Linked DNA regions of Callithrix jacchus. Each later gene encodes a partner of the first gene's protein in a complex. Links are inferred from orthologs where the notes say so. Each region holds a gene or a part of one and is shown on either strand. Other genes may lie near its edges. The genes, in order: CAMLG and GET1.

The links.
Region 2: CAMLG (region 1) and GET1 share a complex: the UniProt entries of both Homo sapiens proteins name them as parts of the golgi to ER traffic (GET) complex. The link is inferred for Callithrix jacchus from reciprocal best matches to the Homo sapiens genes CAMLG and GET1.

Annotation. Positions count from the first base shown.
Region 1 is NC_133503.1:33,145,783-33,150,167, forward strand, and holds the start of CAMLG (guided entry of tail-anchored proteins factor CAMLG), read left to right. Parts: upstream 1-1,537; 5' UTR 1,538-1,656; coding exon 1,657-1,828; intron 1,829-4,385. UniProt on the Homo sapiens protein: Required for the post-translational delivery of tail-anchored (TA) proteins to the endoplasmic reticulum.
Region 2 is NC_133522.1:45,278,692-45,283,281, forward strand, and holds the start of GET1 (guided entry of tail-anchored proteins factor 1), read left to right. Parts: upstream 1-1,762; 5' UTR 1,763-1,841; coding exon 1,842-2,009; exon of another isoform or gene 2,010-2,327; coding exon 2,328-2,438; exon of another isoform or gene 2,439-2,538; intron 2,539-4,590. UniProt on the Homo sapiens protein: Required for the post-translational delivery of tail-anchored (TA) proteins to the endoplasmic reticulum (ER).

The DNA.
Region 1 (4,385 bases):
AGAGACAGGATTTCACCATGTTGGCCAGGCTGGTGTTGAACCCCTGATCTCAGGTGATCCACCCGCCTCCACCTCCCAAAGTGTTATGATGATCAAAGGCATGAGCCACAGCGCCCGGCCATCTAATTTTTTTTTTTTTTAAGCCTGTTGCCCAGGCTAGTGTGCAGTGGCGCAATCTTGGCTCACTGCAACCTTAGCCTACTGGGTTCAAGGGATTCTCCTGCCACAGTGTTCTGGGAGGATTACAGAAGACTATAACCGCACCACCATGCCTGGCTAATTTTTGTATATTTTTAGTAGAGACAGGATTTCACCATGTTGGTCAGGCTGGTCTCAAACTCCTGACCTTGTGATCTGCCTTCCTCGGCCTCCCAAAGTGCTGGGATTACAGGCGTGAGCCACCACACCCGGCCTTCTTCTGATTTCAAATTAAAATTAAAACATTTTTGTGAGCCTCCCCAGACTATGGGGGGCCCTGAAAGCTGTGCATACTGAATAATTCAGGCCTGTTTAGACACGAAGTGTAGCAGTGAAGAAAATGCAATGCTTATGTTCATGGAGCTTACGTTTTAGTCAGTGAGAATCGGATAAGTAAAATTAGCATCTTTAGCAAGCTAGGTGGTCATAAATGACAAGAAGAAAAAGTAAGGTGGAGAAGGGGAATGGGGAGTGTTGGCAATTTAGATAGAATGTAATCTATCTAAAAGGCTGGGAAAGTCTGATTTGAGCAAGCCTGAAAGGCTTGGGACGAAAGGCTGGAAAAGTCTGATTTGAACAAAAACGCGAGAACCGCCTAGGAACACATCAGCTGTATACTACGGTGTAGAGAAGTCAAGGATGAAGAACTGGCACCAAGATCAAAACCCAGCGCAAGGCTCCCTTTAAGCGTGGCTCCTGGGGTTACGTATTGCCATAGCCTACAAGCGAGTCTGCAGGTCCGTAAACAAGAGGCGGCCGCTGCAACCTCCATTTTACTTTCCGGCACCAAATCTAGGCTGGTCTAGTCTTTGTCATCCCTTTCCCACTCCTCCGGCAGGGTGTTGGTTTTCTTCTTTTCTTTTTCTCGAGATAGATTCTCGCACTGTCGCCCCAGGCTGGAGTGCAGTGATGTGATCTCGGCTCACTGCGACCTCTGCCTCCCAGATTCAAGCGATTCTCCTGTCTCAGCCTCTCGAGAAGCTGGGATTATAGGCGCGCACCACCACGCCTGGCCAATTTTTTTTTTTTTTATTTTAAGTAGAGACAGAGTTTCACCATGTTGGCCAGGCTGGTCTCGAACTCCCGACCTTGTAATCCGCCGCCTCGGCTTCCCTAAATGCTGGCATTACATGACTGAGCCACCGCGCCCAGCCCTGAGTCCCTGTTTTCTTCACCACCGAGTGAACAGCAGAGGGGGTTGTTGGGTGAGGGCCGGACGAGGCGGGGAGGGACCAGGGCGTGCCGCGCTGCCCTCACTCAAGATGGCGGCCATCGCCTCGGGCTCGGTAGCGCGAAGCGGCGCGTGCGTGCTTAGCTCTCAGGCTCGGGCACCGCGCTCGGGGGCGGGTCTATCTTGGGAGAGGGTACGCGCGCCCTGCGGCCCAGACTCTAGTCATCGGCCTCGCAGCTGCTGCCGACACCGCCGCCACTGTCACCCCTCCCAGACTGGACGGGAGGATGGAGTCGATAGCCGTCGCTACCGACGATGGGGACAGGCCAGGGGTCCCAGCGGGCTCAGGCCTGTCGGCTTCCCAGCGTCGGGCCGAGCTGCGTCGGAGAAAGCTGCTCATGAACTCGGAACAACGCATCAACCGGATCATGGGCTTTCACAGGCCCGGGAGCGGCGCCGGTGAGAGCCTCGGCTTCCCCTCAGTCTCCCGCCCATCCCCTTAAATCTTCAGGGTAATTCTTCCCTCCCCACCACCACTCCGCTGACCTTTTTGACCAAGCCCTGCTCTCTGACCTCCTGTCTGTCCCGCCCCTTCGGTGATTATCCCAAGTTCTCACTCCTGAACCCCAGGACGTTCCCGGTCGCTCCCCTCAGTTTTCCCGGGGCCTCGCCGTGAGATTTTCCCCACCCTGCCTGCAGAGCCCTGGCTCCCTCTGCCCAGTTACCTTCAACAACTCCTTTCTTCTTTAGCCACCCCTCGTCTTTCTTGAAGGGCGCACGTTTTATCCTCAGACTGCTGTGCCCGCTGCTCCCCTTAAGAAGGTGGCCTTCCTTCTTAAGGTTCCAAGTGCTTTTCCTCACGGTGCCTTCTCTAGCCTTTTGCTGTGTAATTCTTGTCTGCCTACATCAGCTTGTCTTTACTGAACTGCCCGCTAGTCCGTCCTACGTGTATCACGGACTCTTGTGGTCATATCCTAGTGTCTGTGTTCGGTGCCCTCAACACTATCACTTATGGGCCGGTTAGAAAAGGTGGGAAAAGTGAGAGTGAGCATTCTTCAGAGACCCAGCAAGTGCGACGTGCACACCTGAGGTTTCCTGTCCTCATCAGCTGAGATTGGTGTGATTGGTGTCCGGAACTGCATTTCTTTCTTGCTTGCTTGCTTTTTTGGGGGGATGGAGTCTTGCTCTGGCTCAATCTCGTCTTACTGCAACCTCTGCCTCCCAGGTTCAAGCGATTCTCCTGCCTCAGCCTCCTGAGCAGCTGGGACTACGGGCACACGTCACCACGCCCATCTAATTTTTTGTATACTTAGTAGCGACCGGGTTTCACCATATTGGCCAGTCTGGTCTCAAGCTCCTGACCTCATGATCCATCCACCTCAGCCACCCAAAGTGCTGGGATTATAGGCGATGAGCCACCGCTCCCGGCCCCAAACTACACATTTCTAAAGGAGAGCGCCTCATTCCTCCCCCAAACACATGTCCAATGATTTTCCTTAAAAAAATTTTATTTCGTGTGTGTTGCCCTAGTGTTATCTAAGTTTCCATTGTTTTCTTTAGGAATTGGCCATTAGTCACTGGTCGCAAGCTCCTTATATCTTTGTGACTTTTGTTCTGTACGGCTTTGGGTGTATAGCCCTGAACTTTTAGTTGATTTAAATGAGAGGTAAGAAAACCATTTCAAATTCTTCTAGAACAATAGAAGAAACATTTTTTTCTATCAGGCTATGTATTCTTTCTTGAAGCATTATTTATTATCTTACCTGAGAAGTACTTCCTATATTTTGTTCTTTTGCTTTGAAAATTTTGTGTCTTTAAAGGTTGTTTTGTTTTTTGAGACAGGGTTTCCCTCTGTAGTCCAGGCTGGAATGCAGTGGCATGATCATAGCTCACTCACTGCAGCCTCAAACCTGGGCTTAAGCAATCCTGCTCCTTCAGCCTCCAGAGTAGCTAGGACCACGGGTGAACGCCAGCATGCCTGGGTAATTAAAAAATATTTTTTTTTTTTTGTAGAGATGGGTCTCACTGTGTTGCCTAAGCTGGTCTTGAACTTCTGGGCTCAAGTGATTCCACCAGCCTTGACTTCCAAAAGCCAAGATTACAGGATTGCAGGAGTGAGCCATTGTGCCTGGACTTTTTTTGTCCCCCCTCTCTGAGACGGTCTCTCACTCTGTCACCCAGGCTGGACTGCAGTGGCATGATCTCAGCTCACTGCAACCTGCACCTCCTGGGTTCAAGCAATTCTGTCTCAGCCTCCTGAGTAGCTGGGCCTACAGACATAATCCTAGCTACTGATTTTTTTTTTTTTTTTTTTAAGATGGGATTTCACCATGATGGCCAGGCTGGTCTTGAACTCCTGACCTCAGGTGATCCACCCACCTTGGCCTCCCAAAGTGCTAGGATTACCGGCATGAGCCACCGCGCCTGGCAGATTTTTTTGTATTTTTTGTATTTTTTTTTTTTTGAGACGGAGTTTCGCTCTTGTTACCCAGGCTGGAGTGCAATGGCGCGATCTCGGCTCACAACCTCCGCCTCCTGGGTTCAGGCAATTCTCCTGCCTCAGCCTCCTGAGTAGCTGGGATTACAGGCACGCGCCACCATGACCAGCTAATTTTTTTGTATTTTTAGTAGAGACGGGATTTCACCATGTCGACCTGGATGGTCTCGATCTCTTGACCTCGTGATCTGCCCGCCTCGGCCTCCCAAAGTGCTGGGATTACAGGCTTGAGCCACCGCGCCCGGCCTTTTTTGTATTTTTAATAGAGACAGGTTTTTGCCATGTTGGCCAGGCTGGTCTTAAACTTCTGACCTGAGCTGCCCTCCTTGACCTCCCAAAGTGCTGGGATTACAGGTATGAGTCACTGTGCCCAGCCCCCCCTTAAAAAAAAAAAAGCAATACCAGAGCAGCATCTTAAAACTGCTGAAGTACCTACTAATGGCTGGCTGACTACAAAAACAGTAGCTGTGGGAATATGCCACACCCTATGGTCATAGGGCACTGGATTCAGAAATCTAA
Region 2 (4,590 bases), on another chromosome or scaffold:
AATTAGCCAGGTGTGATCGTGTGTACCTGTAATCCCTGCTACTTGTGGGGCTGAGGCAGCAGGACTGCTTGAGCTCAGGAGTTTGAGACCAGCCTGGGCAACATAATGAGACCTCCATCTACACACACATACTGATATGGTTAGGCTCTGCGTGCCCACTAAAATACCATCTTGAATTGTAATCCCCACGTATTGCGGGACGGACCTGGCAGGAGGTGATTGGATCGTGAGGGCGGTTTCTTTCATGCTGTTCTCATGATAGTGTGAGTGAGTTCCCACGAGATCTGAGAGAGATCTTGTGAGATCTCTTGTGATGGTGATGTTAACTGCCCCGCCTCGCCCAAGACGTTTACCTCTCTTTGGCCTTCTGCCATCATTGCAAATTTTCTAAGGCTTCCCGGCCATGTGGAACTGTGAGTCAACTAAACCTCTTTCCATTACAAATTACTCAGTCTTGGGTAGTTCTTTTTTTTTTTGAGATGGAGTCTCCCTCTGTCGCCCAGGCTGGAGTGCAGTGGCGCGATCTCGGCTCACTGCAACCTCTGCCTCCCAAGTTCAAGCGATTTTTCTGCCTCAGCCTCCTGAGTAGCTGGGATTACAGGCACCTGCTGCCACGCCCAGCTACTGTTTGTGTTTTTAGTAGAGACAGAGTTTTGCCATGTTGGTCAAGTTGGTCTGGAACCGCTGACCTAAGGTGATCCACCAATCTTGGCTTCCCAAAGTGCTGGGATTACAGGCGTGAGCCACCAAGCCCGGTCACATAATTTTTTTCACTGATTCATAACAATGAGCCAGAGTTGTACTCCGTCGTCTAGGCTGGAGCACAGTGGTATGATCACAGCTCACTGCAACCTTGACTTCCCCGGGCTCAGGCGATCCTTTCATCTCAGCCTTCCTAGTAGCGGGGCCACAGTCACGTGCCACAGTACCTGGCAAATTTTTTATATTTTACTGTAGAGATGCAGTCTCACTATGTTATCCAGACTGGTTTCAAACTCCTGGGCCCGTAATCTACCTGCTTGGATCTCCCAAAGTGCTGGGATTACAGGCTTGAGCCAGCGCACCCCGTAATCTTGCATCAATTTGATTGGGAATTAGTCCTCAGAAACCAGTCATGGCAGAAAAGACAGTTAAACATCTCTTGCTTTATCCACCATGCATACATTTGAGTTGGGATTCTTTTGCTGCAAAACTTGATCTTCAGCTAGATTCAGGTTACTTTATTATTACTCATGATTGTCAACAGTGCATGCTAATCAACTTATTTTTCAGGTATGCAGTTATGTAAATTGGTTAGTTTACTACAGTGTTTAGTTCTAGAACGAAAACGGCATTTTCCATATAAATGCTTAGAACACGTATTTCATTTTCAGTTACCAGGTAACTATAATTACGGTAGTTTTCTATTTAAGGAAGAATTTATCTTAAACTTACCTAGAATCAAAAGTGAATTTAAAGGAAGTGCTAATTATGACAAAGGCAAGGAGCCGTTCGCACTTGAAACCAGAGTTTCCTACTATGGGAAAGTTTTTAATTTCAAAAAGAAGGAAAGAAAGAATCCCGGACTTCGAAAAACCGGTTCAGTAGGCGGGGCGGGGGGTAGCGGGTGCGAGATGGCTATGGAAGCCCTGAAGGCCCAGGAGGAGCCTGGAACGCGTTAACTGCTCCGGCGGCTGCGGAGGAAAACACGCCTCCCGCGAGGGCGATGGAATGCGCAGGCGCGTTGGCGCTCTGGTCGTGTGCCGGGGCGCCGGGCTTCCCTGCGCAGGCGTGGGCGCCGCCGCTGGCGTAGTCCCCATGGAGCTGCAGTAGCGGACCCTGCGCAGCCAGGAGCGTTCGGGATGAGCTCAGCTGCGGCGGACCACTGGGCGTGGTTGTTGGTGCTCAGTTTTGTGTTTGGGTGCAATGTTCTTAGGATCCTCCTCCCGTCCTTCTCATCCTTCGTAAGTGGTTGCCAGGCCTCCCAAGGGCCGGTGGAGACGCCGCCCGAGTCCTCCGACTGGTCTGGCGTAGGTACAGCGTTCTCGAATGGCAGACTGAAGGCCAGATTCAGCCCGTAGCAGCGTCTTGGTTGGTCTGTAAACTCTTTTGAGATAGTTGCTAGCGTCGAAAAGGGGTGAAACTTTACCCCCAATCTGTTTACTAATTCGTAATCTTCAGACTCTCTGGGTTCTAGGGGGTTGGCAGGAGAAACACCCGGTAACCCTGGGCCACGCTTTCACGTGGCAGGAATCTTCTGGCTGGGGGTGGCGGCGGCGAATCTCACACTGGGAGTGCCCAGTGCCCCGCTACCAGCCTCACTCGTTTCTTTTAATCCCGGTCCCTAGAGGCATTGGAGCAGCCCCCGGCTAGGATTTCCCAGAAGCCTGGCGGGCGATGTCAGCTGTTTCAGGTCCCGGAGAGATGGATCCTCGCGTCCAGAAGGCCACATTCTTGGGGTGCGTAGGGTGGGAGACAGGTGCAGAGAGAATCTCAGCACAGCGTGATGCTTTCAGTATCCAAGGGAGCAACCAGCTTGGGGAGCACCCTCTTTCTGTCAGGCGTTTTGCCCCGGCAGTGAATACATTTCCTCCGTGTCACGGCTGCTGGGAGAGGAGAGTATTATCATTGCATCCTCCTTTACCTCCCGGAGGAGTCTGGCTCAGAGAATTTAGTAGTTGCACTGAATCATCCACCTGGTGACTGGTGGTGGAGGTTAGATTGCCTGTTGGAGCAGGGAGAGGGATTTGGTGGCAAATTGGACGGGGCGTGGTGGGGTGTTGGCACATTGGGAACTGTCCCTGGGATTGAGCGCACTGTGTAGCCCACAGCAGGAATGAGGAGCCGTTGGGCAAAGACTGAGACCGCAAAGATTGGGTGCATTCGTTGTAGAATTGTCTTGGAACACAGTTCTTGCTTTTCTTTCCTAAGATAAATCGGTAGTAGTGGAGTATGTTTTATTCCACCAGTATTCACCGAGTGCTTGTTTTGTGCAAAACTATTCTTACTGTCCCTATTGTCTTACTGTCTGCACTGTTCCGAGATATAGGGAATTCTCTTTTACCCCCTGAGCCTCCTTCAGAATCTTTCCTCATGCTCTGCAGTCTTTTTTTTTTTTTTTTTGAGACGGAGTTTCGCTCTTGTTACCCAGGCTGGAGTGCAATGGCGGCATCTCAGCTCACTGCAACCTCTGCCTCCTGGGTTCAGGCAATTCTCCTGCCTCAGCCTCCTGAATAGCTGGGATTACAGGCACGCGCCACCGTGCCCAGCTAATTTTTTGTATTATTAGTAGAGACGGGGTTTCACCATGTTGACCAGGATGGTCTCGATCCGTTGACCTCGTGATCCACCCGCCTCGGCCTCCCAAAGTGCTGGGATTACAGGCGTGAGCCACCGTGCCCGGCTGCTTTTCATCTCTTCTGAAACTCTTGTACCCATTAAACAACCACTTTCCATTCCTGCCTCCTCCTGACAACCGCCATTGTACTTTCTGTCTATGAATTTCACTACTCTTGGGACCTCATATATGGGGAATCAGACAGTATTTTTCCTTTTGTGTTTGGCCTCTTTCAGTCAGCATAACAGCCTTAAGGTTCATCGGTGTTGTAGCATTGGTCATGATTCCCTTCCCCTTTAAGGCTCTAGTATCTCATTGTGTGTATAAGCCACATTTCGTTTATCCATTCATCCTTCTGTGGACACTCGGGTGTTTCTGCCTTTTAACTATTGTAGATGATGCTAAAATGTTTACACACATCTCTTTGAGTCTCTGCTTTCGGTTTTTCTGGACATACACCCAGAAGTGTAATTGCTGGATCTGTGGTGAGTCCATGTTTAATTTTTCTGAGAAACCATCATACTGTTTTCCATGCAGCCACACCATTCCACGTTCCCACCAGCAGTGCAGAAGGGCTCCAGTTGCTCCACATCCTTCAACATGTATTTTGTTTTCTTATTTATTTATTTATTTTTTAAAGTTTTTTATTTTTCTTTTGAGATGGAGTCTCATTCTGTCATCCAGGCTGGAGTGCAGTGGCTCAATCTTGGCTTATCACAACCTCTGCCTCTCGAGTTCAAGCAATTCTCCCATCTCAGCCTCCCAAGTAGCTGGGATTACTGGTGCATGCCACCACACCCAGCTAACTTTTTTTGTATTTTTAGTAGAGATGGGGTTTAGTAGAGATGAGAGCCATATTGGCTAGGCTAGTCTCGAACTCCTTGACCTCAGGTGATCCGCCCATCTCAGCCTCCTAGAGTGCTGTGATTTCGGGCATGAGCCGCCACACCCAGCCTTTTCGTTGTTGTTGTTAATATACTAGTCATCCTAATGCCTGGAAGGTGGTATCTCACTTTAGTTTTGATTTGCATTTCCCTAATAGTTAGTGATGTTGAGTATCTTTTCAGATGCTTATGGCCATCTGTTTATCTTTGGAGATCTGTCTAGTCACATCTTTTGCCCCTTTTTGAAATCCAGTTGTTTGTTATTTTGTTGTTGAGTTAGTTCCTTTTATTTATATATATATATATATATATATATAGAGAGAGAGAGAGAGAGAGAGAGAGAGAGAGACAGAAACAGAGACAGAGACAAGAGTTTTCTCTCTGTTGCCC